Callithrix jacchus: one gene and its partners. The protein of the gene in region 3 purifies or fractionates together with the protein of the main gene of each other region. This does not show direct contact. Links are inferred from orthologs where the notes say so. Each region holds a gene or a part of one and is shown on either strand. Other genes may lie near its edges. The genes, in order: CHURC1, CORO1C and ACTR2.

Region 1 (11,073 bases), on a different chromosome or scaffold from region 3:
CTATCTCATTGTAGTTTTGTTTGTTTCCTTGATGACTAATGATGTTGAGCATCTTTTCATGGTGTTTATTCATATATCTTCTTTTATGAAGTGTCTACTCAAGTCTTTTGCCCATTTTCAAAAAGTTAGGTTGAGTTATAATAGTTCTTTATATACCTTAGATACAAGTTTTTTCCCAAATATATTTTCTCCCTGTAATTGATTTGCCTTTTTTAATGGTGTCTTTGGATGAGTAAACAGTTTTGATTTTTATAAAGTCCAATTTACCATTTTTTTCTTTCATACTTTATACTTTTTTTCTCCTAAGACATCTCTGTCTACCCCAGGGTTGTAAAGAGTTTCTTATGCTTTTTTTCTAGAAGTTTTATAGTTTTACTTTGTAGGTTTAGCTTTATGATCTATTTTGAAATAATTTTATATATGAGGTAACGATCAAGGTTTATTTAGTTCCACATGGATATCCAATTTTTCTGGCAAGATTTGTTGAAGACTATCTTTTCCCCCACTGAATCAGAATGGTGCCTTTGTAGGAAAAAGTTAATGACTATACATGTGGGTCTGCTTTGACTATTCTGTTCCCTTCATATACATATCTACCTACCCACTACTATCAAACTCCCCTGATTACCATAGTTTTATAGTAAATCTTTAAATCAGGTAGTTTATGTCCTATAATCTGGCCATTCCTGGTTGAGTTTCATGTGAATTTTAACATCAGCCTTATACACTTAAAAAAAAAAGTCTACTGGAGTTTGAATTGGGGACTGCCTTGAATCTATGAAAGCTGACTGCCAAGGACTCCAAAAAATTAAGGAAAGCAAAATAGTTTTTAAAAAGATCTAAATGCCAATTTCAAATAAATAGGACTCTGAACTGGACTACAGCCACAGACACAGGTTCCTTGCACAATGTGGCCTAACCTCTGTAATCTGAGTAATTATGCCTCTTGTAAGTAGAAAGAATGTGACTCTAAGGAAACACTAAAGAAGAGAAGTATCTATATATCTGTTGTCTGGTAAGTAAATGCTTCAAATGGCAAAATACAAGTATAACATACAAGAAATGGATGGGACTTTCTAGAAGAGCCCTGGTCATTTGAAAGTAGCAAGAGTAACCTTCATCAGTGAAGCATAGCTTTTATTAAATGAGGCAAGACTATTAACATCCAAATTTGGAAAAGTAAACTAAAGCACACATTACTCAGCGAAGGTTTTGAGGCTCCCATAACAGGTAGAAAAAGAATGCAATTCAAATCAATTCCACAAAAGTAACAGTAGACCCTAACAGTTTCAAGAAGAAAGTCAACATGTTAAGTACCCTTAGAAAATGTGATTCAGATAAATCCTGGTTAAGGATTTGTAAAGGTATACAAGTGTGCAAGAAGAAATGGCCGAAAATTATGAGGATAATTAGCATAAGAGTATGTTATAGGCCAGGCACGGTGGCTCACACCTGTAAGCCTAGCATTTTGGGAGGTCAAGGCGGGTGGATTATGAGGTCAGGAGTTTGAGACTAGCCTGGCCAAGATGATGAAACCCCATCTCTACTAAAAATACAAAATTAGCTAAGTACAGTGGCGTGCACCTATAGTCCCAGCTACTTGGGAGGCTGAGGCAGGAAAATCACTAGAACCTGGGCAATGGAAGTTGCAGTGAGCTGAGATCGCACCACTGCACTCCAGCCTGGGCAATAGAGTGAGGCTCTAAAAAAGAGTATGTTATAAAATCTTGTAAATGTGAGAAAGCTGTAATTATTCTGATAAAGACTGCATCATTTTTTTCCCAGCAATTTATTTCAGATGGTACAAGTTAATAGTGAATGTATATATTTTGCCAGGGAATATTTACAAACAGAAAATACAGTTTTTATTAAAGAACCAATTTTTGGTTTTGTTTTCTCTATTGTATTCTCTCAGTATTTTCTAGTCTAATCCTTATTATTTCCTTCCTTCTACTTGCTCTGGGTTTAGTTTGCTCGTTTTTCCATTGCCTTTTTTTTTTTTTTTTTATTGAGACATGGTCTCACTCTGCTGCCCAGGCTGGAGTGCTGCAACCTCCACATCTGGGTTAAAGTGATTGTCCCACCTCAGCCTCCCAAGTAGCTGGGACTACAGGCACACAAAACCACACCAGGCTAATTTTTGTATTGTTTGGTAGAGACAGGGTTTCACCATGTTGGCCAGGCTGGTCTCAAACTCCTGATCTGCTTGCTGCAGCCTCCCAAAGTGCTGGGTTTACAGATGTGAGCCACCGCACACGGCCTGTTTTTTCATTGTCTTAAGTGGAAGGTTAGGTAATTGATTGAAGAGTATACTTTTTAAACATAGACACTTATAAGTTTTAAGATGTAGAGTATCATTTTAAGGCATTCTTACATACAACTGTTTTACTAATTATATATTACTCATTTAATTAAATCTGGTTTAAGGTTATCTACTAAGCAACAACTTGAGTGTATGAAGCTTGGTGGCTTATCTTTAAATGAAAAATATAAAGCATGTAATTGTAAATTTAAACATATCACTAACACTGATTTTTTCCCACTGTTAATCTAATAATATATTTCTGTATTGCTGTTGCATTACTAACAAAATTTAAAGCTGAAATTAAAATATATGAAATATGTTTCATTTCCAGTTTGATATGAAAAATACCTTATTACAGTTTTGTGCCTGTTCAGTAATTTTAGAATATGCATAATTCTAGTTCTGACTGGTTTGCTAATGCTTTTCTGAAGGAAAAAAAACGTGGTTCACAGTTGAGTAAAAAAATTTGGGTTCAGAAAATTAGTGTGATTCATTTCCAACTTGACTCATGTCTGAGTTCAAATTCTCAGTGTTAACGTTACAAGCAAGTATGCCAGAGCCCCATTAGGAATTCAGTACTGTATATTTCTAGTCTGTAAAAATAAATCACAAAATTCCAAACTTTATGTAATCAAAGATAAATAATTAACTAATACTTACTCATTCTATATTTAGAGCTTCCCAACAAATGAATTTGTTTTTGTAAGTAGATTGGGTTTTGCTCTGTCGCCCAGGCTGGAGCACAGTGGCGTGATCTTAGCTTACTGGAGCTTCGAACTCCTGGGTTCAGGAAATCCTCCCACCTTATCCTCTTCCCGAGTAGGTGGAACTACAGGAACACACCACCACGCTGGGCTTATGTTTTTTTAATTTTCATTTTTAGTAAGGATAGGATCTCACTATGTTGCCCAGGCTGGTCTCAAATTCCTAGGCTCAAGCCATCCTTGTGCCTTGGTTTCCCAAAGTGTGAGGATTATAGGTGTGAGCCACCAGGCCCAGCCCACAATCTTCTTATTGCCCTTCTTTGCTAAGCTTCTGCAAAGCTTAGCAAAAGCAGTGGCTTCTGCTCTTACTGAATTTAAAAATAGGTCATGACTTCAAAGAACCCCTGAGTTGGAAGGGTCCTTGACATTCTAAATGGTCAGTTAAGTCTCTACTGAACAATCGAAAGACAGTTTAATTCCTCTAAGAGTTACTCATTCCATTTTGAAATGTCAGAAAGTTCTTTATTCTGATTCAAAGTCTAAGACCCATAACATCCACCCCGTAATTATTTCTAAATCTGCCTTCTAAAATTCCAAAGAAAAGTTTAATTCTTCTTCATGACAGTCTTTTAATTATTTTAGAACAGAATAAAAAAAGAGAAAAGTGCCTTTGAAAGGTACTCTCCTGGTTTTCCAATCACCTCAATCCTTTTTTTCTACTATTCTTCCTTATACTTTATTTTCATATCTGAAGATAATTTAGTCTTTGGAGCTCAGTCCCTGATTCACTACATTTTTTTCCTCAGCGAACAAATCCTATTTTGACATTTGTATTTAACTGACTCATTTATCTATGTAGTTGTACCCAAACTGCAATCTTATATCTTCACTTGACCCTTCAGATATTCTCAATCTCAGCGAACAAATCCTATTTTGACACGTGTATTTAACTGACTCATTTATCTATGTAGTTGTATCCAAACTGCAATCTTATATCTTCACTTGACCCTTCAGATATTCTCAATCTCAGGTGAAGCATATTAATAACAATTTGACCATTTGGCCTGAATTTTTGTTTTATCTTCCCATATGCCTCCAATTTCTGTAATGATACTTCCAATTTCCCAGCTGCCTAGATAGAAAACTGAGATCATGTGATCACATATAGCTCTCCCCTTATTCTCTTCTGCATTAAACTGATTGAATCTTATTCTTTTTTTCTTTTTTGAGACAGGGTCTCGCTCTGTTGCCCCGGAGCGAGTACAGTGGCACAATCATGGCACACTACAACCTCTTCCTCCTGGGCTCAAGTGATCCTCCCACCTTAGCCTCCGAGTAGCTGGGACTGTAGGTGCATGCCACCATGCCTGGCTAATTTGTTTTTTGTTTTTTTTTTTTGAGACAATGTTTCCCTCTTGTTGCCCAGGCTAGAGTGCAGTGACATGATCTCGGTTCACTGCAACCTCCACTTCCTGAGTTCAAATGATTCTTCTGCCTCAGTCTTGCAAGTAGCTGGGATTACAGGAGTGAGCCACCACACCCAGCTAATTTTTGTATTTTTAGTAGAGATGGGGTTTCACCATGTTGGCCAAATTGGTCTCAAACTCTGGAACTGAGGTGACCCACCCACCTCAGCCTCCCAAAGTGTTGGGATTACAGGCGTGAGCCACCGCGCCCGGCCTATTTGTATTTTTTGTAGAGACAGCGTTTTACCATGTTTCCTAGACTGGTCTCAAAACTCCTGGGCTCAAGCGATCCACCCGCCTTAGCCTCCCGAAGTGCTGGGATTCCAGGTGTGAGCACTGTGCCCGGCCTAATTCTTTCTTCGAAATAAGGTCTTCATTATCTCATGCTTACACTGTTGCCATAGCTCCTCAAATGTTCTGTGGAGTTCTCTCTTAACACACCCTCCATCCTACCATCAGCCATAAGATTCATTTTCCTAAATAACAGACTTCAGAATCATTTCTCTATTAAAATTTTGATGGTTGTCCAATGCATAAAATGTAAACTCTAAGCTTCTCAATATAACTTTTAAGTTTTACAATAACTCCACTCTTAAGAATCCAACCTAATCTCTTTAATATTCTCTACTGCTAACTTCTCCCTCATGGTCTTGTACTATCCCATGTTTATTACTGGCTTTGTAAAAATCTTTTTAAACTTAAAAAAATGAAATAGAACACAGTAAAGTACATGAAACATAAATGTAGAGCATAATAATTATAAAGAGAACATCTACAGAACCATCACCCAAATCAAGAAATAAAACACTGCTTGCACCCCACAAGACTTTTTCTCATTTGACCCTTCTTGATCACACCCTAATCCCTTAGCAGTAATTGAAATTACTGCTGTGTAATTGTAATTTCATTGTTATAATTCAGGGTTTCTCAACCTTGCACTATTGACATTGGGAGTGATACTTTGTTGTGGTGGCTGTCCCATGTATTGCAGGATGTTTAGTGGCATCCCCTGCACCATCCATTAGAAGTCAGTAGTGCTTTCCCACAACCAAAAAATGTCTCCGGATATTGCCAAATGTCTCCTAGGAGGCAAAAATCACTCCTGGTAGAGGACTACTGAACTACTTCATTCACTTCCGTTACTCATTCATTCATGTGTTCCACTCTATGAATATATCACAGTTATTTTTCCAATCTACCACCATAAAAATAATGCTGTTATGAACACTCTTATAAAAGTCTTCAGAAGCATATACACATTCATTTTTCTAGAATGGGAATCGCTGGGTCATTTCTGTATAAGGCTCACCCGTTTTTCCAAAGTGGTTGTATTGTATGAGAAAATATACTGTTATATATGCTTCTCAAAAGCCTAAGTATTACCCATAAGATACTAAGGCTTAAGCAACTATAGAGATTTTCTCCCTCCCATCCAATGCACCAATTCCATTCCTGTAATTTCCCCCCATCCTCCAGCTCCTCCTTACCTTGTTTTCTACCCTAATTACAACTGTCCTTCAAGTCTTAGAGGATGTCCACCTTTTCGCAGGGGAGAACAACACTATCTCCTATTGCCCTCCCCTTTCCCTAAACTTGAATAGCATTTCTGAACCGATCTACTCATTTTTTGTTAGTCGCATACTCCCCAAAACGGTGAGCTCTTAAGCAGCACCAAAGCTGCCTTTTTATTTCTAATTTGAAATAAAAGATCCAGCCGGACGCGGTGGCTCACGCCTGTAATTTCAGCACTTTGGGAGGCCAAGGCAGGAGGATCGCTTGATCCCAGGAATTTGAGACCAGCCTGGGCAACACTGGGAACCTGTCTCCAAAAAAGAGAGGAGAAATAAAGAATCCCTTTCTGGCCTAAAGCAATCTAGCTACACATATATAAATGTTCAACAAAGATACCCTGAATGAATGAGAAGAGACAAGCTTTGCAACCTCCTGAGCCTTAAAGTAACTGAGATTTAAAAGGCAGTAACAGCCAGGAAATCTGAATTCTAGTCCTGGCTCTCATCCATGCAACTACAACGTGAACTTGGGAAAGTGATTTTCCCTCTCTGGACGTCGGTTTCTTCATCTGCAAAAGTGTTAGAACAGATGACCTCTGAGGTCCCCTGCAGCGCTAGAATTCTGTAAGAAAACTGAACTTCATCAAATCGAGCTTGAGAATGAGACCGGAAGTGGGGGTGGGGGAGTCTTTCGGTTGTCGACCGGGGTTGTGATGGCGGTGGGGTTCCTCTGCTCCTCCCTGGAGCTCAAGCGAACCGGCACGACAGCTGAGGTCAGCCGCCAGGGCGGAGACCAGAGGTGCTGACCGCCACAGGCCATCCCCGGTGAACCTAAATACCGCTACCGGGTCAACGGGACCGGCAGTGTGGGCGAGTCCGCCCCACGTACGGCCTCTCTGGGAAGGCCAGCCTGGGGTGTGAGACACCTCGGGGGCCTGCCGCCGGCCAAAAGAGAGCCCAGTCGCTCACCCGGTTGGGATATTCCTTCTCCACACAGTCTCCACACATCGCGACGCAGTCAACAGGAAACGTCCTCCAATGCTTCCGGGAAGACGAAACCTCGCGAGAGCTGAGATACGGTTACCGCATGCGCCCAAGTACTCGACTCCTAGGTCTTCCGTCTCGGGAACCGATCCGAAATCTCCGCCCCTTAGCAACTGTTGTCAGGGCCGGGCACAGTCTCCTTGGCACCGTGTGTCTGCAAAGGGTGGGGATCCAGAAACCTTTGAAGAAAGGGGAAGAAACCTTATGCACTGACAGATGTGGGGGGAAGGGAAAGCGGATTTTGGGCTGAGCGAAGTTCTCACAGACGCCTTCCTGAGCTTAAGCTGACAAGAAAGGCAAATCACAACACACGAGAGGGAATTATTTCTCGCTACCCTATATACAAATCTGAAATGTTAATAAATACCTTTCTGTACCATTTCTTAAGGCAATGAAAGTGAATAAGAGACCAGATCTCAGCAGGTGGATAAACAGTAACTGAAGTGTGGGAAGAGACACTTGGAGCGCTGCAGAAAATCTCCTAAAACGAACACTTAAAATATTAGTAATAATTAGCCGTTCCAGAGACCTCTGGGGGACATAGCAATGAGTAACGTATTTCTGTCTCTCTCAGGTGTCACAGATGCACCTCAGTGGCGGGCAAGCACTATGTAAATAGAAAAATGACCAGGTGAGTTTTCCCTGCATCGTTTCCCAATCCTGCGGATCTCAAAATCCTTTTGATTGGCGCCCCGCCTCTTTCTTTCTCTATGTATTGAAAGCATCTTATTATTGGCAACTATCTAATTGCATCAGAACAATGTGTCTTCATCACACCCCCTTACTCCAATGGGAAATCAGCATCTTCCCTCAGCCCTGCTTTATTGCTGTCATGTCAGTGAAGAAAGATTAGGAAGCAGGGGAGACTCTGGGATCCAGATGCCTTAAAAAAGAGATTAATAACCATTTCAAAGCACACCAGTTTAATTGGGGTTGTTACTATGGGAATTATTTTTCCACGAAAGCATTGAAATTGTAACCTTTAGTATTTCAACTTTTAGTAAGTATCTGCAACTGTTATTAAAAATCGTAGGTGTGCTAAGAAACACTGCATGATATAGAGCCATCAGAGTTTATTATTGGAATAATTATAATGCCTCCCATTTGTATGACACTTTCAGCCTTTCAAAAGTGTCCTCATTTCAGTTTGTAATTTTATGCTATTTCGACCCTATGTGATTGGTAGGAAAAATATGTCTTCTCTTTTCATATGAGGAAACCACAGAAGTGAGTGGTTAAAGGACTTGTCTACAGTAAGAAAGCTACTTTGTAGTAGTCGGCCAGAGCTAGGACTCTGTTGCTGTCCTTGGCTCAATTTCTATCTAATACAGTAGCGCTAGCCACTTATGGCTCTAAAGCACTTTAAATACGGCAAGTTTGAACTGAGATTGTGCTGTATGTACATTCTGCATGCTAGATTTGGAAGATTTAGTATTAAAATATGTAAAAATCTTAATAAATGTATATGGTTATGTTGAAATAATTTTTGACATACTGGGTTAAATAAATGTATTATTAAATTAATTTCACCTGGTTCTTTTTTTAATGTGGCTACTAGAAAATTAAAAATTATACATGTACCTTTCATATTCCTATTGGACAAGGCTAGTCTATTCATTTTCTTTTCTTTTCTTTTTTTTTTTTGAGACAGAGTCTTGTTCTGTTGCCAGGCGCCAGGCTGGAGTGCAGTGGCACAATCTCGGCTCACTGCAACCTCCACCTCCCCAGTTCAAGCAATTCTCCTGCCTCAGCCTCCCAAGTAGCTGGGACTACTGGCGGACGCCACCACACCTAGCTAATTTTTGTATTTTTAGAGACAGGGTTTCATCATGTTGGCCAGGATGGTTTCGATCTCTTGATCTGGTGATCTGCCCGCCTCGGCCTCCCAAAGTGCTGGGATTACAGGCTTGAGCCACCGCACCCGGCCTTTATTTTTCTTTTTTAAGGAAGTCTCACTCTGTCACCCAGGCTGGAGTGCAGTGGCATGATCTCGGCTCACTGCAACCTCTGCTTCCTGGGTTCAAATGATTCTCATGCCTCAGCCTCCCAAGTGGCTGGGACTACAGGAGCACACAACCACAGCCAGCTAATTTTTTGTATTTTTAGTAGAGATGGGGTTTCACCATGTTGGCCAGGCTGGTCTCAATCTCCTGGTCTCAAGTGATCCACCTGCCTCTGCCTCTCAAAGTGCTGGGATTACAGGCATGAGCCTCGGCCCCTGGCTCAATTCCCTTCATCCATTTTTAAATGCTTTCTCTGTTTTTAAAGCCTAATACTGACTTTTAATCCTTTCCTATTCCCCAGATACTCACAGTTTAGTCTGAGAGATAAAATGAGCATGAGTACCAATAATTACTGGCAGATTGGGGTATAAGAACACAAAATGGTGAGACTTCACCCACGTAGAGGATTAGGAAAGAGGAATTTGGGCCTTAAAGCATGTATAGGATTTCAAAAAGCAGAGTTTTCTTTTGTTTGGTATAGAAATTTCAGGTGGACCATGCCAAGGAGTTTGGATTGTATTCTGCATGTGGTAGAGAGCCACAGAAGGTTTGAGCAGGAGAGTGTTGCCAGAGTTGTGGTTTAAAATTATTTTAGGTTTAAAATGATGAAGGCTCACACCTGTCATCCCAGCACTTTGGGAGGCCAAGGCAGGAGGATAGCTTGAAGCCAGGAGTTCAAGACCGGCTTGGGCAACATAGTGAGACTCTGTCTTTACAAAAAATTTAAAAATTAACCTAGTGTGGTGGTGTGCACCTGCAGTCCTAGCTACTCAAGAGGCTGAGGCAGGAAGATCTCTTGAGCCTAGGAGTTTGAGGCTGTAATGAGCTATGATCATGCCACTGCACCCCTGCCTGGACAACAGAGCGAGATCTTGTCCCTAAATAAATAAATAAATAAACAAGAAGATTATTTTAGCTGTAGTTTATTGGGACTTAATGGAAGTGTAAAAAAAAATGGACATGCGAAAGGCAGACGCTAACAGGAACCACAAGGGGGAGATGTATAGCTTTCTGCCTCAACACTGAGCATGTACACGACAAAAATTAATTAATTAAAAATTACACTACAGTCATAGATCTTAAAGAGTATACCCATTAGTATGAATTGATTTCACAATCTAAGGCACGAAAGACAATCTACATGTTTATAAAATTTTTTTACCTTCCCAGAGTTATATCATAACTTGTTATTAAAATGAGCAAGATAAAAAAAATGATCATCATATTCATGGTCACAAAAGCTCAAGAGCTCAGGGCTATCTGTCCAGTGAAGTCCTCCATTTAAATCTAGCCACATTCAGAGAAGAGAGGCAGGAAATGAGACTCGGGGGAGGAGGTAGACAGGACCAGAAATTAAAGTGTGATTGTGGTAATGGGAATACAAAATTATCTGAGGCTGACAGATGGAAGAAAGGAAAATAGAGGCTACAAAGCAGAAGGAGATTAGCACCTGAATGAAATGAACAAGTAGTGGTGTAACATAAGAAAAACAGTAAAAAAAAAAAATCTATTTCCTTTTCTCTTATAGGTAACTATATAAAATAAAGTTTGCAGAATCAGTTTTATATTCTAACAGAATTTTCTCTGGGACAATACCCTGCTTTTATGTGTCTTTAATAAATAGGTGATGTCCATGATGTATATCAAACATACAATGTTGCAGTTCATGTATGAGATCATCTCTTGTTAAAGAAATTGATTAAAGAAAATCTAAATGTTAAAATGGCCCTAACTGCTGGCTCAATTACATGTGCTAAACTACATCCCTGGGGCAAGATGAGGGATTTCCCTAAAGAGTGCAGTTTGAATCTCCTTTCAACACCTTCTGTTTTTTCTTCTGCCTTATAATGCCAAGAGACTAAAAGGATACAATGCTGATCCTATCTATTCTTTTCATCTTTTGTTGAAAGGAATGAAAAAGTGCCCCAGCCTTTATGGTAACATCCTCAGGCCAGTTTCACAGATGGAGGAGAGGATGCTCATCTCCAAGCAGAAGCTCATCTGCTTGGTGAAGGTATAGGTCATTCTTTCCATTGTGTC
Region 2 (10,129 bases), on a different chromosome or scaffold from region 3:
TCCCTCGCCCTCCCCTTCTCTTGGAACCACATACCCTACGGTGTTTCACTATCAACAACAACTTTGTTTACTTCATTAATTCAGTATCGGAACTTTCAAACATTTCTGAATCTCAGACACAAAGGTCCTCGGCAGATTCTGATGATAAGGAAACAAATACAGGTTTGAATATAAGTCAATGTCATGATTGTTTTCTTTACATTTCATGATCCACTTCAATATGAAACACACAAATACACACACACACGAAACCACATCAAACATTCAGACGCCCTGAAATTGTGGAGACAGCATTCCCAATATTGGCTGGATAAGAACATGGTACCTTTTCTACACGAACATTACTCCAAGTTCAGCCATCACCACACTCTGCCCTCACCCTGGCTCCCTGTATACAGACGTTTCCTGCCAGGCCCATGTCCACACCAGCACAAGCATGTGAAAGAGTTCCCTTTGTGGTCCCAATGGCACTACACATTTCACGTTCAATCACAGACCACCCTTCCAAAACACAGGCCCCTTAAATCTTGTTTCCCAAGCATGCAATATGAGAAATTGGAAATGGGGCAAAGCTCTAGCTACCCAAGGAATGAATAAGCGACCAGAGCTCAGTCTCTGACCCCACTCCGAGTCCGGGGAGGCTCTGTGCTTTGACATAGCCTTAGTGTGAGATGGAGAGGCAGAGCAGGTTAGTTGTGCAGAGGGACACGTTTGTTCACACTAAAGCTACAGCAGAGGTCTGCGTTCCTGTTTCTGCTTCACTCTCGATCATTCTCCTCAGTCTCAATATTCAATTCCATCGCACCTCTGGCCTCGTCTTAGCTTAATGTGGTTAGAGCTAAACGGCAGGAAGGAAAGAAGGAATGGCTGGGGGAGCCCTGAGAGGTTACAGCACATGTGAGGAAGAGGGTAGAGCAGGAGCTTTGTTGGTGGAAGGAGAGCCACTTCCTCTTCCAGTACAGCATGAGGAGAGCATGGGGACAGCACGGGGAAACAGGATCACCCAGCACAAATACTCCCCTCCACATGCCCTCATTTTTAGTCCCCACCACTGCACTCAAGAGCTGGGCAAGTTGCTGAAAAGGGCAAGAAGGAACACTCAGCTATACACAGGTCTTCCTGTCCCAGGCACCCTTGTCAAGTATTGACCAAAACCTGAAACATGATGTTTAAAGTGATGAATGCAGTAGGTCCTAGGTGTGTAACAAACTGCAGAAACACATGCTAGTTTGGGTTAGATTATAATCATCTGAAGCACAGGATAACGAAGAAGCAAAATTCCATTCTGGTACAAACACTCAATTTCTAGAAAAGAGAAAGGAAAGGAAGAAATACGATAAGAGCTTTTTTGATCAGAAGACTCCATGAAATGAGAAGGGTGGTACTATGAATCCACGTGATTTTTCAAGTCTTCCTGTTGTACAGTCATCAAGACCTTTGTGCTACGAAGGAGTCAGCACCATGTGGCTACTGCTCTGATTGTTCTCAGATGAATGTTTATACAAAATAATATCTTATCTTCATTTAGTTTATAAACATACATGGTGCTGTCCCTTTCAAATTAAGGGAAAAAAACCACACAAATACTGCAAAGTAGCAAAATACAAAGGAAAACAAAGCTACTTTTGGTTTTGGCAACATTAAAAAAGAAAGAAATATAAAAAGCAATGTGGCATTGGTCCCTATATATTAAAAAAAAGTGGGGGTAATTGGGCACGACACAATCAGAATTAGTTTGTTTTCTAAAATTCAGAATGTCTGGGATTTTAAAAGTAGCACTTTTTTTGAAAGTTCAGCAAGTCACATAACACTTAAAACATCAAAAAAGCTTTCTGATAAAAAGGTCAGCTTTTAAATCACGTTTTGTTAATTCAGGAGACAAATTGAGTTCTTACTGGAATGTGGCCTATCGCTGGTTGACAAATCTGAAATGGAATGTCTCCAAATGGCAGTGCCTCCCTTCCGCCCTCCCTAGGACCACACCAACAACCAGCTCCCAAGCACAAGTTCTTGCTCCCATTTTTTGTAGGGGTGGGGGTGGGAACTTCAGGCTGCTATCTTCGCCATCTGCTGTTCTAACTTGGAAATACGCTCATCTTGATTGCAGATTGTGTCTTTTATAGATTTGATCTCTTTTAAAATCTCATCCAACTTGGCTTCATTTTGCTAAGAAAACAAACAAAAAAAGGAGGTAGTGACTAAAATGCAGTAAACAAAGTTCAACACAGTTCAAAACTTGTAAGACATAAAATGTAATTTTCTGTTTTGCAAACGGCAAGTCACAGTCACCAAGCTAAAAAGAAAAGTCAAAGCCCTACTGCACCTGGGGCTTTGAACGCAATGAGCACTGGCAAATCCATCTGAAACCCCGTAGCAAAACAACAGTGTGTCACAGTGCCACTTCTGATCCTGAGGCCTGTGCATTTACTTAAAGGGTCTCCTGGGTCACAATTAGACTACAGGACAAAACACAATTAGACTATAGCTCCTTCAAGGCTGCCCTACATCCTAACCACCCCAATCATTCCATCAAGAGTAACTTCTATCTGACCAGAGCAAGCAGAGATTCTCCCAGAAGCTACAGAGCTCCTGCCATCTGTGAGAGAGGCTCCTTCTTAGGAGTGAGACCCTTGCCCTGTGTGCCCACTCCCCCTCTCTTCCATAGGACCTGCTCTCCTGGCAATAGCAGCACTCTCCAGTGGCCACAGTGAGTTAAGAGCAGGCTCAATTCCCATTGCCCCACCCAAACAGCTCTTGCCTAAATCCCCCTTGTTTCCATCATCCCCACACAGCCAGATCCTTCTGTCATAGCCACTCAGCTATATCTGAACACTTGGCACTCCCTCCTTCCAGGGACCTCCTCTCCCTGGTGCCTACGAACCCATGCTCCCATGATATTTTATTTCTACCCAAAACAGGAAAGGATTAAACTAGTTTTGCAAAAGACAGGAAAAACCCAAGAGGTTCCTGTTCACACTCAGAAGTGGTAGGAGACTAACACCTATCCCAGTCATGATGGTTTGTGGCCACACTTGGCTCCTTTAATGGGGCTAAAGGAGTTTTAACTCCATTAGAGGAGGCAAGTGTGGCCACAAACGACCACCATCACATGACCTACAACCTTCTCCCACTTTTTCATTTACTGAAAACCCCTGTGCACCCAGCTGAGACAGTCCTCGCCAATGCCCTGGACCATAAGCACTTTACAGAAGATAAAGCCTGAACCAGCCAAGCACCCCCGCACTCTAGGGGCCCTCACCACACTGGCGGTGTCTGTGGTTTTCTTGGGGACGCTGATCAGGTCGCACTTCTTGTTTGCAGTGGGCTTGCTATCCAAAATGTTCTTCTTTACCACCTTGAGATCCCTGTTTTTGCCTGGAATGTACCCATGCTTCAAGGAGATGAGGATTGGGTCTGCATTCTTGCCCTCGAACCACTCTTCTGCCTCCAGCGCAGCTTCTGGCCCCGCTGTGTCAGGATACAGGTCATCTTGGAAAAGGTCAGACTACAAGAGACATTTGGCACCCACGGGTCAGGAATAAGAATGGCCTGGAATTTTTGAATTTTATTTTTACATATGTTTAAAACATGGATTGTTTAGAAAACTAGGCACTCACCTTCCTGGGAACAGTCATGATGATAGGTTCACACTTTCTCTCATGAAGTTTGAAGAATCTTCAGAGGGGAAATAAAGGCAAAGTTGTATTAAGTGAAATATGAGGCTGAGTAACAGGATTAATAATGACTTTTCTACAAAGCTGTCTGAAATGTCAAGTGTTTCTTCACCCATCCCCACATCTGATCCACCCTGGGAAGAGGCAAAACTTAGTGTTCTGGGTTGACAGATGAGAGAACGAAAGCCGAGAGTCAGAATGCTAGGAAATGGCAGACTGGAGACAAGAACCATGAGTAGAGGTCTAGGTATTATGATGGCAAATGCCAATTATCTGGGGGGCAGATAAACTGTGATGGAATAATAGCAACCCTGAAACTGACTCACTTGTGAAAAAATTACCATGTCAACATACAGGAGAGAACAAGACAATTTTCTTTTTCAGTCAAGATGAGAAACAATAAAAAATTCTCTCTAAAGCTCCTGGCAAGAGAGGTAGTCTTAGTGAGTATTCTGGCCAGATCACCAGATCAAATGGTTCTGTGCAAGGGGGGAGTTAAGGGTAGGTGTAAATGTTACTGGGGAAATGTTTTCTGAATTTTAAGAGTTTAAGTCAGAGAAGACACTGACACATCAAATATGCAAAACAAGTGAAACTCATTTCTCCTGCAAAACCTGCAGCCTTTGGCATTTGAAACTGGGCAGGAGTCCAGTGAAGACAGCCTGGCAGATACATTGCTCTAACACCCAGGGGAACAAAAGCTGAGAAGAGCTCAGGGTGGTGGTAAAGGTGTTTGTAAAATCATCATCCTCTTAAAAGAAGGTTGTATCAAATGTGCCTGTTTACTATTTCAACCAAAAACCAAAGGCCCCAGATAAACCAAAAACTTTTTTTTTTTTTTAAAGACAGGATCTTGCTCTATTACCCAGGCTGGAGTGCAGTGGCACAAGCTCACTGAGGCCTTGACCTCCTGCGCTCAAGCAAATCCTCCCACCTCAGCCTCTGCAATAACTGGGACCACAGGTACAGACTACCATGCCTTGCTAACTTCTTAATGTTTTGTAGAGACAAGTCTCACTAGATTGCCCATATTGCTCTTGAACTCCCAGGCTCAAGGGATCCTCCCACCCTGGCCTCCCAAAATGTTGGGATTAGAGGGTAAGTCACCACTCCTGGCCCAAAAACATTTTTAAAGACTGATTTAATGAAAATTCTGCAGTTAGTACAATGATTAAAAATCCTGACCTGGCTTTGACTTCCATCTCTACTACTAAAACCCGTGAGAGTATGACTACCTTACCAAGCTGCAAGTTCTTCATCCATAAAATGGAGATAAAAGTAGCATCTACCACATAGGATTGTTATGAGAAGTGAAAAAGGTAGCATGTAGCATATCTAGCACAGTACCTGGCATATAATAAATGCTCAAGAAACACTTCAGAAACAGGAGACATTCTGAACAACTGTGTTTAGTCTGTTGAACTTTTAGATGACAACAAATGTGTTTCGAAATACTGGATGTAATCATCAGTTCAAAGTCAGCCTACTTTGAACCACATTTTGATTAGTTTGGTTTAAACCATTTTCAATTACCTTTAACAGCCTTCCTTCATTATTCCATCTATTAGGGAAAAAAATCCAACAGAGAGTTTGGGTTTTTTGTTTGTTTTCTGAGATAGAGTCTCACTTTGTCGCCCAAGCTGAAGTGCAGTGGTGTGATCTTGGCTCACTGCAACCTCCACCTCTCGGGTTCAAGTGATTCTACTGCCTCAGCCTCCCGAGTAGCTGGTACAGGCACACGCCACCACGCCCAGCTGATTTCTGTATTTTTAGTAGAGATTAATGTAAAAAAAGAACTTACATAAAAATTCTTTTACTTGTATTTTGAAAGTTATAAGTATCAATTCTTTAACTGTGAGACTAGAACAGCAAGGTTTTTAAAAGTCCATATAAACACAGTGTTACAGAAATGTGTGGTATGACCTTACCTGTGATGATGTAGTGCTAATTACTCTGCTGTTTGAAGTGACCAGTGGTCACTGAGTCTCAAAGGGTATCTTTGTTGACTAGCATGAGAAAAAAGCCTATCCCTTAGGAAGCCCACTGACATCATAGAATATAAATTTTTTAAAACTCAGAAGTAGTACAGAGAGGAAGAAATTGTATCAAAGCTGAATTTCCTAAATCAAGCTACCACCCCATTATAGGATCTTTGCTTTCTCTAGTTTAGGACCAGTGGGGCACCAAATACAGTTTTGACCCCAGTTCTTCCACTCATAGAGTAAGAAAACCACCCCCTTTTCCATCCCCAAGCCAGGCTCTCCCCTACTTGCCCACCAGAGAACACTGACCATGGCCTCAGCTTGAAGATTAAAGATGCATGTTTCACTATTTCAGTAGCTGTGCAATACACCCCAGTATTCCACGTAATTGTTACACTTCAGTTGTATAGGCAGGAAACAAAGTATTAATTCCATAGTACACACAAGGATAGAAAGACTTGGGCTTCATAGAATTTCTTGTAGCTGTATTGCTCTGGTACCATCGGGCAATCAGATGATGATAAAAAGTGAGATTTGCTTGGTGTGGTGGTGGGTGCCTATAATCTCAGCTACTTGGAAGGCTAAGGCAGGAAAATCGCTTGAACCAGGGAGGTGGAGGTTGCAGTGAGCTGAGATCACACACTGCACTCCTGCTTGGGCAACAGAGTGAGACTCCGCCTCAAAAAAAAAAAAAAAAAAAGTGAGACTTTTTCATAATGAAGAAATTTGGTTTTAGTGAGTATCCTCAGAAAGTGCCATCTCATGGCAATGAGTGTAAGTCTACTAATTTCTTACTTAGAATAGTAAGATATTTTTGAGATCCGAAGTATATGCTAGTCTGAGTACAAATAATTGTCACACAGTTACACCAACCTAGAATAATGACAATCTCTATTTTTTACCTGGCAATCTCACATTTGTTCACATCAAGTCCCCTCTTGGGCATGTAACCCATCCCTCTCTGAGGCTCCTTGCTGCTGAATGTGTTGAGGTAGTGGACATACGGGGACTCATCCGTTATCTCAAAATAGCGAATACTGCTGTCGCCCTGTAAGAAATCAGAGACAAGTTTGTGTCTGATTGTTACTGAAACATCTGGATTATGTGGGTATCTCTATAAACCCAGCATTAGTTGGGACCCTACTTCAGTGGCTAACCTTTGTTTCTTCATAAAGAGGCTTGCATATGATAAAATTGATAAAGCATATGACAGTTTCTTTTCTTCATAAAGTAACCCCTCACTTATCAAATGCTAGCATGCCTTTTAAGTGGTCTCCTCAGCCTCCTACCAAAGGCTCTAATTTTACTCCACTGAGCCTAGGTACCAGGCCAGAGTTAGAGCAAAAATGTTAATGCCTCTGCTAAACAGCTACATTGCAATTCGACTTCAAAAAACAAACAAACAAACAAACAAAGACTAAGAGAATTGCCAAGAATGCAATTCTTGATTTAAGTATTCATTCACTGGCATAGCGCAATGCTGTTCACAGACCTAAGGGCACCAATATCAGGCATTCAGATGATGACAAAAAATGAGATTTTTCTAATGAAGAAACTCAGTTTTAGTGAGTATCCTCAGAAATGCCATCTCATTGCCATGTGTACAATTCCACTACTTTCTTGCTTAGAATGGTCAGATGTTTTTGAGTGCTGAAGCATATGTTAGTCTAAGTACAAATAATTGTCACACAGTTACACCAACCTGAACAATGAAGGCAATCTTGTCTGGCAGAGAGGAGATATACATATATGCAAGAAAGAAGAAGACAAAAATAGCTAGGTGGTATCATGCCTCAACAGTGCTCCCAGTTCTCAGATTTCCATTTGTCTCAATGATTGAGATATCTAAAGCAATGGAAAAGAAGCTAAACCCTTGCTAGTCATTTTCTGCATACCCAAAAGAATTTTCCATCTTGTGCTACTAATATCTGAGTAACTGATCATTTTGTGCGTTTTACTTCAGTCAAGGGCAACAACGGCAAGGTTAATGTGCTTAACACCTGTTAACATCTGCAGTAAAATGGCTTCCAAGGAAACAGACAAGATCACCGTTTCTAAGAAACTGACCTATTATAAAAACGTAAAGCAGGTCTGCAGCATGCTCAATCAGCTATGAAAAGCAAACATCACCAGCTTTACCACCCAGTGAAGGGCTATCTAACAGGTCTAGGGAGTATATCAACAGCTCTATTGCTATTAATTTGTTTATTTCAACCACAAAAAGTTCTAAGGGAAATTGAGCCTATAAAAATATTAGGAATTATAATGCTCCCACCTACAAAAATGAAATAATAAAGCTACCCACAGCCTAGGCATGCTGGGCTCATAAGGCAGGGGGAAGGTTTTTGGAGTTCAGTGAGGAGTCTCCCTATAATTGCTATCACCCCTGAGCTTTAGTCAGGACTCATATCTTCAAGCCCAGGGTCCTAGCTCTGAACCCCAGGAACAAGAACCCTCCAGAGAGCCTTTGAGGCCCTCAAAAGTTTGCATCCACAAAGCACCATTCTCTTAACAAGTCCATGGTGTGTGGTACTAAGTATACACGTGCTCATCTAGGGTTATCCAACAAATTTCAGCATTAGATGTGGCCAACTGGTTACCCATCCCTGACACAAGCACAGATAAATCTAAAATCACCAATCAGGTAGCACTGCTAGGTGCAGAAGAAACACCAGTGTGTCTTCTTTTCTTCACAAGAGTGCCCTGATTGGAGCATTTTCCCCAGCACCCCAACCCAACCCCTGCTTCAGTCAAAAGTATGGAACATGGCATGTTGTCACTACACAACTGGCAAGCTATACACGGTCCAGTCTCAAGACCTAAAAATACCAAATTATCTGTCCTTAGCTTATAACATACACACAGAAATTAGAAAAACTAAACAGACACAACACATTACCCATCCTCTAAATCTCTGAAGGATAAATGTTTCCACTTACAGGATTTAACACCAAACATCAAAATTGCTGTTTACCTTTCCACATAAGTAAATGATGCTGGTGTCAGGGTCATAGAAAGGCAGCAACACCCCATTGCTAGTGTCCATCTCATGAAGCGCGATTGGTTCCTGCATATTTTTCTGGGGGGAAAATGATACATATGTGTGTGTGTATACATTTTTTAAAAAATACATTTTTATAATCTTATTATACATTCTTCTATCCCAATTAAGTGAGCCATTTTCCTAAAATAATAGATGTTTGAACTATGCACATGCAATACTCATACATGTAAACAGCAACAGGAATGCTAAATGAGATCCAACTCACTAAAAATTTCACTGATTTGACAACATAATGCACGCATACATCGGTGTGATTTCATGACGATGACACAACCCTTCTGCTTTGTGACTGTTTTCTTTTTTTTTTTTTTTTTTTTTGAGACTGAGTCTCCTTCTGTTGCCCAGGCTGGAGTGCAGTGGTGTGATCTTGGCTCACTGCAACCTCCACCTTTCAGATTCAAAAGATTCTCTTGCCTCAACCTCCTGAGTAGCTGGGATTACAGCCACGCACCACCATGGCCGGCTAGTTTTTGTATTTTTAGTAGATACAGTTTCACCATGTTGACCAGGCTGGTCTCGAACTCCAGGCCTCAAATGATCCAGCTGCCTCAGCCTCCCAAAGTGCTCAGATTACAGGCATGAGCCACTGCGCCCAGCCTATTCTCTTTTTTGAAAGTACTTTTTAAATTATAAAACAAATATCTGTGATTTTAAAAAGTTGAAAGATATAACAAACAACATAAAAATCATTTCATATTCCAAAATCCTATAGCCCAGTGAGTGGCAGAAACTATTTTGATCTATTTCCTTCTGACATATGTACACAGAGATTGAGATAATACCATGTATGTTGTATTTTTCCCCACTTAAGCTAATTATGAATATTTTTCTAAGCATGACCATTTTGATTTAGACAACTGATCATATTCTTTATGATATATGAATTTATTTCCCAAATCCAAAACACTAGATTCTTCATACATTCTTTTCAAAAAAATATACAACAGCCTCTTCAGGAGTATCAACAATATGTCTTTGAAATAGATTTACCAGTAAGTCTCCAATGAGGATAAGAGCTTCACATCCAATTTAAGACTAGCAGGCCCTTAGAAAACTACACTAAGAATCCCATAATCTGCTTACCCACCGGAAGACCTGCTCAGAACAGAGAGAAAGCTCAAGTGAAAGCAAGAGGAAAGGCTGGGGAAGGCGTACCGGATTCCAGAGAGCCAGCTGCCGCTCGCTCATGCGGCTGAAACCAGTGGTGAAGACATTGCCATCGGCCAGAAAGATGGCTCTCATGGGTCTTGCTCCTTCATGTGCTTTCTCCTTCTCCTGGGAAGCAAAAAGGCACATGCCACACATTAAGCTACAAGGAGACAAGGTGAGTGGGGAAACTCCAGCATTGACCCAGCCTCACCCACTGCCATTCATGTTCACCTGGGTGTGAGAGGGAGGCCAGTGTGAAC
Region 3 (11,226 bases):
GAGAATATTACAAACAACTCTATGCACATAAACTAGTAAACCTGGAAGAAATGGATAAATTCCTGGACTCCTGTGTCCTCCCAAGCCTAAACCAGGAGGAAGCTGAAACTATGAATAGACCAATAACAAGGTCAGAAGTTGAGGCAGCAATTAAGAGCCTACCACACAAAAAAAGCCCAGGTCCAGATGGGTTCACAGCCAAATTCTACCAGACACACAAAGAGGAGCTGGTACCATTCCTTCTGAACCTATTCCAAATAATCCAAAAAGAGGGAATCCTTCCCAAATCATTTTACGAGACCAATATGATCCTGATACCAAAACCCGGCAGAGACTCAACAAGAAAAGAAAACTCCAGGCCAATATCCATGATGAACATAGATGCAAAAATCTTCAATAAAATATTGGCAAGCTGATTGCAACAGCAAATCAAAAAACTTATCCATCATGATCAAGTAGGATTCATCCCGGGGATGTAAGGCTGGTTCAACATATGCAAGTCTATAAACGTAATTCACCACATAAACAGAACCAAAAACAAAAACCACATGATTATCTCAATTGACGCAGAGAAGGCATTTGACAAAATTCAACAGCCCGTTAGGCTAAAAACCCTCAATAAACTCGGTATCGATGGAACGTATCTCAAAGTAATAAAAGCTATTTACGACAAACCAACAGCCAATATCATACTGAATGGGCAAAAACTGGAAGCATTCCCTTTGAAATCCGGCACTAGACAAGGATGCCCTCTTTCACCACTCCTATTCAACATAGTACTGGAATTTCTAGCCAGAGCAATCAGGCAAGAAAAAGAAATAAAGGGTATTTAAATAGGAAAGGTGGAAGCCAAATTGTCTCTATTTGCAGATGACATGATAGTATACCTAGAAGACCCCATCGCCTCAGCCCAAAAACTCCTGAAACTGATAAGCAACTTCAGCAAAGTCTCAGGATATAAAATCAATGTGCAAAAATCACAAGCATTCGTCTACACCAATAACAGACTTAAAGAAAGCCAAATCAAGAACGAACTGCCATTCACAATTGCTACAAAAAGAATAAAATACCTAGGAATACAACTCACAAGGAACATAAGAGACCTCTTCAAGGAAAACTACAAACCACTGTCAACGAAATAAGAGAGGACACAAACAGATGGAGAAACATTCCATGTTCATGGTTAGGAAGAATTAATATCGTGAAAATGGCTATACTGCCCAAAGTAATTTACAGAATCAACGCTATCACCATCAAGCTACCATTGACGTTCTTCACAGAACTGGAAAAAAACACCATGAACTTCGTATGGAACCAAAAGAGAGCCCGCATAGCCAAGTCAATTCTAAGCAAAAAGAACACAGCGGGGGGCATCACACTACCGGATTTCAAACTATACTACAAGGTTACAGTAATCAAAACAGCATGGTACTGGTACCAAAACAGAGATATAGACCAATGGAACAAAACAGAGGCATCGGAGGCAACACAACATATCTACAACCATACAATCTTTGATAAACTTGACAAAAACAAGCAATGGGGAAAGGATTCCCTGTTTAACAAATGGTGTTGGGAAAACTGGCTAGCCATGTGCAGAAAGAAGAAACTGGACCCCTTCCTGACACCTTACACTAAAATTAACTCCAGATGAATTAAAGACTTAAACATAAGACCTGGCACCATAAAAACCCTAGAAGGAAATCTAGGCAAAACCAGCCAGGACATAGGAGTAGGCAAGGACTTCATGAACAAAACACCAAAAGCATTGGCAACAAAAGCCAAAATAGACAAATGGGACCTAATCAAACTCCACAGCTTCTGCACGGTAAAAGAAAGTCACTAGAGTGAATCGGCAACCAACAGAATGGGAACAAATTTTTGCAGTTTACCCATCTGACAAAGGGCTGATATCCAGAATTTACAAAGAACTAAAACAGATTTACAGGAAAAAAACAAACAAGCCCGTTCAAAAATGGGAAAAGGATATGAACAGACACTTTACAAAAGAAGACATATATGAGGCCAACAATCATATGAAAAAATGCTCATCATCACTGGTCATCAGAGAGATGCAAATCAAAACCACATTGAGATACCATCTCACGCCAGTTAGAATGGCGATCATTAAAAAATCTGGAGACAACAGATGCTGGAGAGGATGTGGAGAAAAAGGAACACTTTTACACTGCTGGTGGGAGTGTAAATTAGTTCAACCATTGTGGAAGACAGTGTGGCGATTCCTCAAGGCCTTAGAAATAGAAATTCCATTTGACCCAGCAATCCCATTACTGGGTATATATCCAAAGGACTATAAATCGTTCTACTATAAGGACACATGCACACGAATGTTCATTGCAGCACTGTCTACAATAGCAAAGACCTGGAATCAACCCAAATGCCCATTGATGATAGACAGGATTGGGAAAATGTGGCACATATACACCATGGAATATTATGCAGCAATCAGAAATGATGAGTTCGTGTCGTTTGTAGGGACATGGATGAATCTGGAGAACATCTTTCTCAGCAAACTGACACAAGAACAGAAAATGAAATACCGCATATTCTCACTCATAGGCGGGTGATGAAAAATGAGAACACATGGACACAGGGAGGGGAGTACTAAACACTGGGGTCTATTGGGGGGAAAAGGGGAGGGCCAGTGGGGGGGGGAGCTGGGGAGGGATAGCCTGGGGAGAAATGCCAAATGTGGGTAAAGGGGAGAAAGGAAGCAAAACACACTGCCATGTGTGTACCTATGCAACTGTCTTGTATGTTCTGCACATGTACCCCAAAACCTAAAATGTAATAAAAAACTTAATAAATAAAATAAAAATTAGCAATCCATTTAATTCCACAAAGAGGAAAAGTAAAAGAACACAGAAATGCTTGAGTTCAATTTGCTGAGACCAATAAAATGTACTTTCAAGAAAATTGCACAGCACTAGCACTAGAGCCACAAAAATAAGATGGATTTTATACTCAAGGAATTAATGAACAAACAAACTTTTCCGCAGACTGAGGTACTTCTCTCACTACTAAAGCAGATAAAGGGAAGAAATGTTCTCCTGAGACCTCCTACCTATTCTAACCTCTCAAATTTCCAACTGCAACAAATGGCAGCTTTATTTATCTATTTATATTTATCCATGTGTTTGGCGTTTCATATAAGATTAAATTTGAATAAAGCACTCTATGCTTTTATATAGGTTTGAAAATCACTAGTCTACTAAAAGAACAGTGAAAACTGAGAGGCAGCTATACTATAGAAAGAATACTGGATTGGGGGGTTCACGATTCATTTTATTCTATTGTTGAACATATACAGCCATGTTGAAGGCAAAGTTCTAGTTCTCAGCTCTCAAAAGGATGGCATTTTAAATGTGAATTTTAATGTCATTCATCCAATAAATATTTGTTGCATGTAATAAGCACAATAATGTTATTCATATGTTCATAGCAAAATAATAGCGAGGAAAGGGAGTAAGGAACATCCTGAGGATATCAGCTGTCATCAAAGATGTGACAAGCTGGGTCTCAGAGCACAAGTTTGCCAACCTATTTTTAAAAAGGAAAAAAATGTGGGTGAAGGGGAGAAGCAAAGCAAAGCACACTGCCATGTGCGTACCTACGCAACTGTCTTGCATGCTCTGCTCATGTACCCCAAAACCTAAAATCCAATAAAAAATAAAAATAAAAAAATTTAAAAAAAAAGGAAAAAAAATGAGGCATCGTAGATAGAATCATAGGTTCAAAAGAACAGAATTAGTAAGAAATAGCTACCACTGAATGAACATTTCTTCTATTCAGACTTATTCTCACCACATCCATGGAGATAGAAGTTATTCCCATGCACAGACAGGGGTATGCCAAAATTACAAAACTCGTGAGTGGCAGCACCACGTTTGAAACTGGAGTTGTCTGATTTCAAAGCCAAGGCTCTGGGTTCACAGCTGTACATGTACTGAAGAGGTGTGAAGAGACATGGGACTACTGGAAGAAGGAGGCAGTGAGCCAGAAGGCTGGAAATGCAGGCACCTGCTCTCTCTCACTTGACCATAGAGCAACTTGGGCAAAGGAGTGGGCTGAGATTGGAGTATGGAACAAATGCATGATTTCAAATAAGCGTGTGTGTATGCATCCCAGTTCTGTCCGCTGAAAAGGCCTAGAAGCAATGACACACCAAGCCCTGTTCAATGGTGGGGTCGGCCAGGACCTCCCAGGCTTGCTCCCGGTCCTTCCCGCCGGCTTCTCCGCCACATTCCATGCCACCGCAGAACCGGTGTCCTTCACCTGCCTGCGTCTTCTGCAGTTCGTTAAGCGGCGCCCTTAGTTTCTGTGACATTTCAGGGAGAAAGCCGCAGGACCCGCGACAACGTTGGCCGCCATTAACGCCCGGCGAAGCGCCGGGAACTAGAAGCAGAGAGGAAGAACCTGGGTAGGAAACGACCGTGACAGCCGAGCCGGAAGTGGAGCTGCGGGAGGCGCCTCGAAGCTTCTCCATTTTTTATTGGAGCTCACCGCTGCCAGTCGCGCTTCCCGCCCGTCCCACACGTTCCGCTCAGACATTCAGCTAAATGACGGGCGGAGCCGGGCGGCGACTTCCTGTTGGGGGAAAAAAGTTAGGCCGAAGGAGGGGCCGCGAAGAGAGAGGAAGAAAAGAAAACGGCCGGGCGGCGGCGGCTGTAGGTTGTGGGGCGGCAGCGGCTCTCACCTGGGCGGACGATGGACAGCCAGGGCAGGAAGGTGGTGGTGTGCGACAACGGCACCGGGGTAAGCGCCTGGCGAGGAGGCCTTGGCGGCCATAGGCGCAGGCGGGGACGTGCAGCGGGCGCGCGGGCCCTCGGCCCCCTGGGCTGCACCTCCAGGCCCTAGGGGCCAAGGGGCGCGGGGCGGTGCTTCCCACCTTCGCGGGCAGGAGGGCGAGTCGGCCGTGCCCTGGTCTCCCCTTAGCCTGCCGCCCCCGCAGCCTTCCGGGTCGAGGCGGCTGGCGAGACCAACACTGGACGCGGAGCCTACTGACCGCTAGGCAGGGACCGGCTCCGCGCTTGAGCGGGGCAATTGGGCTAAAGCGGACCGAGGGGTAAAAGACTAAAGCGGCCGAAGGGGTAAAAGGCTCGGTTTGTGTGTTTCGAGAAGTGCTCTTTTCCCCAGGGCCGCCGGTGTATGAAAAGAAGAAACACCTAGAGGCCTTCCTCTTCCTGTATAGTTGAAGATATACCAAACGAGAAGCAGGAAACGGGTTTACTTTAAAAAGAAAAAGAAAAAAAAAGGAAGTGCTGTCAAGGAGTGTGGGCCTCAGACCTTTCGCTGTGTTTGTTGTTTTTGTTTGTTTTTTTCGAGGGAAGGGGGTCCAGATCGGCTGCGCATCGTTCACTTTTTGTTCTACAAACTGGTGGTTTGGCCCTACAGGCCTGCGGACACCAGCATGTTCCATTGGATGATTTGGGGACCTAGGGCCCGGCAGTGTTAATTCCTCTGACCTTAGGGGAAGTTAATTAGCGTTGGTTACCCGCCCCCAGCTTCCCTTTCCCCCTTAGTCTCATAATAAAGGTAATATTAGACTTTAAGATTAAAAAAAGGTAAAATCTGACCAAAGCACTGATTTAGAAACTATTTGAAAGTTGTTTCTGTAATCCCAGCACTTTGTAGGCCGAGGCGGGCGGATCACGTAAGGTTAGGAGTTCAAGACTAGCCCGGCCAATGTGGTGAAAGCCCGTCTGTTCTAAAAATACAAAAATTAGCCGGGCGTGGTGGCGCATGCCAGTAATCCCAGCTGCTCAGGAGGCTGAGGCTGAGGCAGGAGAATCGCTTGAGGCTGGGAAGCAGAGGTTGCAGTGAGCTGAGATGCGCCAGTGCACTCCCAGCCTGGTCGACAGGAGTGAAACTCTGTCTCAATAAAACAAAAAAAGAAAGAAGGTTGTTTCGAACCTCTCTCGCCAGATTTTAAAAAAATTTGTTTCGGGTAGCAAAGTCAGCAAATTAGAAGATGGCAATATTACTTACTCTGGATGACTGATGTGATGATTTCTAACCATTTTAATGTTGCAACATTTTATGACTTTTCTCCCCTCCCATAAATATAATATATGAATTAAAATACATTTTACTTGAACAAAACATTTTGGAATCTGAATTGTTGAGGGGAAAAAAAGCTGGTATTTACTGCCGTAATAATGCCTTTGATTAGATTTGTTACAGAATTTTACAAGCAATAGTTATGCCAGCTTCATCTGAACTGTGTTAAAAATGGACTAGAATAAAAAGTGGTAACATAATGAGGCCAGGCACGGTGCCTCATGCCTGTAATCCCAGCACTTTGGGAGGCTGAGGAGGGCAGATCACGTTAGGTCAGGAGTTTGAGACCACCCTGGCCAACATAGTGAAACCGTGTCTCTACTAAAAATACAGAAATTAGCTGGACATGGTGTTGGGCACCTGTAATCCCAGCTACTCAGGAGGTTGAGGCAGGAGAATCGCTTGAACCTGGGAGGCGGAGGTTGCAGTGAGCCGAGATCATGCCACTCACTCCACCCTGGGAGACAGAGTGAGACTAAGTCTCAAAAAATAAAAAATTAAAAAATATATAATATATATAATGGGACAGTTATTCAAAATGTAATACTTTTTAAAAGATCCACTGCTATGGAAACATGGTTAAGATTTGTTAAGTTGAAAAAGATTTTAGAATGATTCAGTTTAAGTATGTGTTCTTTAGTAAAAATGTATGTCCACAAACCTGTATCTGCATATGAAAGTTTTCTCTATCATCTAGGCTGGAGTGCAGTGGCGCAATCTCGGCTCACTGCAAGCTCCTTCTCCCAGGCTGAAGCGATTCTCCTGCCTCAGCCTCCCTAGTAGCTGGGATTACAGGCCTGTGCCTCCACACTCAGTTAATGTTTCCATTTTTAGTAGAGACAGGGTCTGGCCTTGAACTCCTGACCTCAGGTAATCCATCCACCTTGGCCTTCCAAAGTTCTGGGATTACAGGTGTGAGCCACTATGCAGGCCTTAATGTTTTATTTTTGTAGAGACTGGGCCTCCCTATGTTACCCAGGCTGGTCTTGAACTCCTGGGCTCAAGAGATCTGCCCACCTCCGCCTAAAGTGCTAGGATTACATGCTTGAGCCACTGCACCCAGCTATCATAAGCTAATGTTACGTTACTAATCCGTTAGTAGTTTTTGTTTTGTTTTGTTTTTGAGATGGAGTCTTGATCTGTCACCAGGCTGGAGTGCAGTGGTACAATCTCAGTTCACTGCAACCTCCCATCTCCTGGGTTCAAGCGATTCCTCTGCCTCAGCCTTCTAAGTAGCTGGGACTACAGGTGCCTGCCACCATGCCCGGCTAATGTTTTGTATTTTAGTAGAGATGGGGTTTCACCATGGCCAGGATGGTCTAGATCTCCTGACCTTGGGATCTACCTGCCTTGACCTCCCACAGGCTTGAAAGACCGTGCCTGGCCTCTGTTAGTTTAGCTAACATTAGAAAGCTGATTTTAGGCCAGGCGCGGTGACTTATGCCTGTAATACCAGCACTTTGGGAGGCCGAGGTGTGAAGATCACTTGATGGCCAGGAGTTCGAGACCAGCCTGGCCAACATGGTGAAACCCCGTGTCTACTAAAAATACAAAAATTAGCCAGGCATGGTGGCGGATGCCTGGAATCTCAGCTACTTGGGAGGCTGAGGCAGGAGAATTGCTTGAACCTGGGAGGCAGAGGTTGCCGTGAGCCGAGATTACGCCACTGCACCCCAGCGTGGGTGACAGAGTGAGACTCCATCGCAAAAAAAAGAAAGCTGGTTGTAATATTATTGATTAGTCTTATGTTGAATCCATATTTTTAAGATCCTTTTTCTAATACAAATGATCAGTTGCTGTGATATAAATGAAAAAAGTGAGTGTAGTTAATTCAAATAAAAATTTGTTGTTATGTTTCTAGTTATTTTTAAATTTTATCCAGATTTTCTATGGGCATGATTGGTTTCAACCGAAGAAACAGTGGTGATAAAATATGTGAATCATATAACAGGAATGCTGTGATAGTTCTGAGTATGTAGTATGTAGAGAACTAGGAATCAATTAGATTGTATATTTCTTACCACTTGTAGACATAGTCATCTTGATTGTATTTAGGTACCTGAAGTTATAATGATTCCTTTATAATTAAATGTTCAAGAAGATATTCAGATGTAATTTTTGAAGAAGTTATGGAAATAGTTGTTACCCTAAAGTTTTCTCTTTTGTTCCTTACACACCTTAGGTTTTAAAATGGTAGGCTGGCTGGGTGCGGTTCCTCATGCCTGTAATTCCAGCATTTTGGGAAGCTGAGATGAGAGGATTTCTTGAGGCCAAGAGTTTGAGATCAGCCTGGGTTAATATAACAAGACCCCATATCTAGTAAAAAATAAAATAAAAATAAAATTATAGGCTTTTTGAAACGTTGATTTTTTTTTTTTTTTTTTTTAAACCTCTCTGGCAGACCCATATTGAATATTCTAGGACAGGAGTGTCCAATCTTTTGGCGTCCCTGGGCCATGTTAGAAGAAGAATAATTATCTTGGGCCACATAACATACACTAACACTAATGATAGCTAATGAACTAAAAAAATGGCCCAAAAAAATTTACAATGTTTTAAGAAAGTTTGTGAATTTGTGTTGGGCCTCATGTAGCTCATGGGCCATGGGTTGGACAGGCTTGCCTGGGAACAAGTTTGTTCTTACAATAACGTGCCTGATGTTGGTCCTGCTCAATTTTCTATCTCCCAGCTTGACCAGTGTCTCCTTAGGGTTGCCCAGAGGAGGAAAACTCATCTGATCCAATAATTTATGTGGATTTTAACCATTCAAACCTCCTTCTGGAGTCAGCTGGTCCAGATAGGTGAAAATCAAGAGGTCTGTGAAACTCTAGGTTTGGGTCTCCTTCAAGAGCTGGGCCCAGGCCCCTGGTGTTGTTTATCTTGGAGATAAGACTTGGGAGATTTCATCAGCAGTGAGTTAGATCACCAACAAAATGAAGGTTTCCCCAGTGCTTGCTATGTTGCTAGTACAGTGCTTAATAAGGTCTAGTCATACAGAGAAGGTTATAGTACCAGAATAATTGGATTTGCATTTATATAATTGACATTTGTAGTTGATTGTGGCCTGCTTTATCAGGCTTTGCTAGTTTATATGTTTAATTTAGTAGTGTTTGAAACAGAAACAAATCAAAACCAAATATGGTTTTACCGTGTAATATGCTTTGGGATAAGTAGAATAAATATTTTGGTGGCCTAAGATAAGAATAGTCACTGTGCAGTTTAATTACTAAATACATCAATATCATCAGATAAAATTAGTAAGGGGAAAATAAAAATTAAATTAGGTCCAAATGGGGCTTTAGAAATTCCAGGTTATTTTTTTGAAGAGAAAAAAATGTACTTTTAGAGCAGATGTAGATGAAATTTTTCATTTGTGCCTGACAGAACATTATACTGTTCTTACCATTTGATGACTCAGTGGGAAGTAAGGGAACTAGTTTAAACCACACTGCTATGAAGAGGAAACTATATATGGTAAAAGCTATTTCTTAAACACAGCCTTTAGGCACACAATGAAAGAACAAAGTCACTAAGTTTTAAAATGATTGACATGGAGGAGGAATTTGAGGGATTAAGATGATATCAATGATAGTTTAGAAAATAATGTTTTCTTTGTACTTTATCATATCATGTTTAGATTTTTTTTTTTTTTTAAGATGGTGTCTCCCTCTGTCACCCGGGCTAGAGTGCAGTGGTGGGATCTTGGCTCACTGTAGCCTCCAGCTCCTGGGTTCAAGCTCTTCTCCTGCCTCAGCCTCCTGAGTAGCTGAGATCACAGGTGCACACCACCACACCTGGCTATTTTTTGTATTTTTGGTAGAGATTGGGCTTTACCATGCTGGCCAGGCTGGTCTTTAACTCCTGATCTCAGGTGATCCACCTACCTCGGCCTCCCAAAATGCTGGGATTACAGATGTGAGCCACTGCACCTGGCCTAGATTTTTAAAAAAAATACTTATTATTTTTTGCAGAAGTAATCAGATTGTCATTTTCATATTATTGAAAAATTAGGGCCAGGCACAGTGGCTGATGCCTATAATCCCAGAACTTTGGGAGGTAAGGGTGGGAAGATTGCTTGAGGCTGGGAATTCAAGACCAGGCTGAGTAACCTGTCTTGGGAGACTGATGTGGGGGTATCACCTGAGCCTGGGGAGGTTGGGCCTAGGTTGTGAGACCCCTGTCTCTACAAAAAATAATATAATTTTAGAATTATAATTTTTATTTTTGCTGCTCCTTGCAGAGCAGTATTACCCCAGTGGCAGAGTGCCCAGAGTAGCCAGTATAATTAAAAAAGAAAAAAATTAATTTTATTATTATTATTTTTGAGATAGTGTCTCTCTCTATCACCCAGGCTGGAGTGCATTCATGGAATCTCACCTCACTGCAACCTCTGTCTCCCAGGTTCAAGCAATTTTCCTGCCTCAGCCTCCTGAGTAGCTGGGATTACAGGCATGCACCACCACGCCCAGCCAATTTTGTAGTTTTAGTAGAGATGGAGTTTCACCATATTGGCCAGGCTGCTCTCAAACTCCTGACCTCAAATGATACACCTGACTTGGCCTCTCAAAGCCCCAGGCCCAGCCTTTTTTTTTTTTTTAAAAGACAGGGTCTCACTCTCTCACTCAGAGTGAGTAGAACAAACATGGCTCAACGCATACTCAACCTTCCTGGGCTCAGATGATACTCCCACATCAGCCTTTGAGGTTTCTGGGACTATGGGTATGTATCACCATGCCTGGCTAATTTTTGTATTTTTTTGTAGAAATTGGGTTTTGCTTTGTAGCCCCAGGCTGGTCTCAAACTCCTAGGCCCAAGCAGTCCACCCACTTTGGCTTCCTAAAGTGCCAGGATTACAGGTGTGAGTCACCATTCCCAGCCAATTATTTTAGTTCTGTTATTATAACTGTTAATGCTTTCATATTTGAAGTAATGTGAAATAGTGCGATTTTTGCTATTTTGATGGGTTAATATATACCCTGTAGGAAAGCTCGTGCTGAATTCTGTTACAGCATCTGCTTCCAGTAAGCTACTGCTCAAGCAGAATAAATATTTTTTTTAATAAGTGACTGATAACCTTTAAATAAAAAGCCAATTTTTTTTTCTTTTTATGAAGAAGTAATAGTAGGTTTACATTTGTTTTTATAG

What was found.
Region 1: the proteins of ACTR2 (region 3) and CHURC1 purify together in Homo sapiens (affinity purification with mass spectrometry; 4 studies listed by BioGRID and IntAct, with this or other methods). This does not show direct contact. The link is inferred for Callithrix jacchus from reciprocal best matches to the Homo sapiens genes ACTR2 and CHURC1.
Region 2: the proteins of ACTR2 (region 3) and CORO1C fractionate together in Homo sapiens (co-fractionation; 3 studies listed by BioGRID and IntAct, with this or other methods). This does not show direct contact. The link is inferred for Callithrix jacchus from reciprocal best matches to the Homo sapiens genes ACTR2 and CORO1C.

The regions. Positions count from the first base shown.
Region 1 is NC_133509.1:99,578,978-99,590,050, reverse strand, and holds the start of CHURC1 (protein Churchill), read right to left. Parts: upstream 7,033-11,073; 5' UTR 6,995-7,032; coding exon 6,956-6,994; intron 1-6,955. UniProt on the Homo sapiens protein: Transcriptional activator that mediates FGF signaling during neural development. Plays a role in the regulation of cell movement.
Region 2 is NC_133510.1:111,540,169-111,550,297, forward strand, and holds part of CORO1C (coronin-1C), read right to left. Parts: intron 9,996-10,129; coding exon 9,876-9,995; intron 8,736-9,875; coding exon 8,631-8,735; intron 6,705-8,630; coding exon 6,559-6,704; intron 3,676-6,558; coding exon 3,618-3,675; intron 3,506-3,617; coding exon 3,260-3,505; intron 2,167-3,259; coding exon 2,047-2,166; 3' UTR 1-2,046. UniProt on the Homo sapiens protein: Plays a role in directed cell migration by regulating the activation and subcellular location of RAC1. Increases the presence of activated RAC1 at the leading edge of migrating cells.
Region 3 is NC_133515.1:48,686,667-48,697,892, reverse strand, and holds the start of ACTR2 (actin-related protein 2), read left to right. Parts: upstream 1-4,610; 5' UTR 4,611-4,728; coding exon 4,729-4,776; intron 4,777-11,226. UniProt on the Homo sapiens protein: ATP-binding component of the Arp2/3 complex, a multiprotein complex that mediates actin polymerization upon stimulation by nucleation-promoting factor (NPF).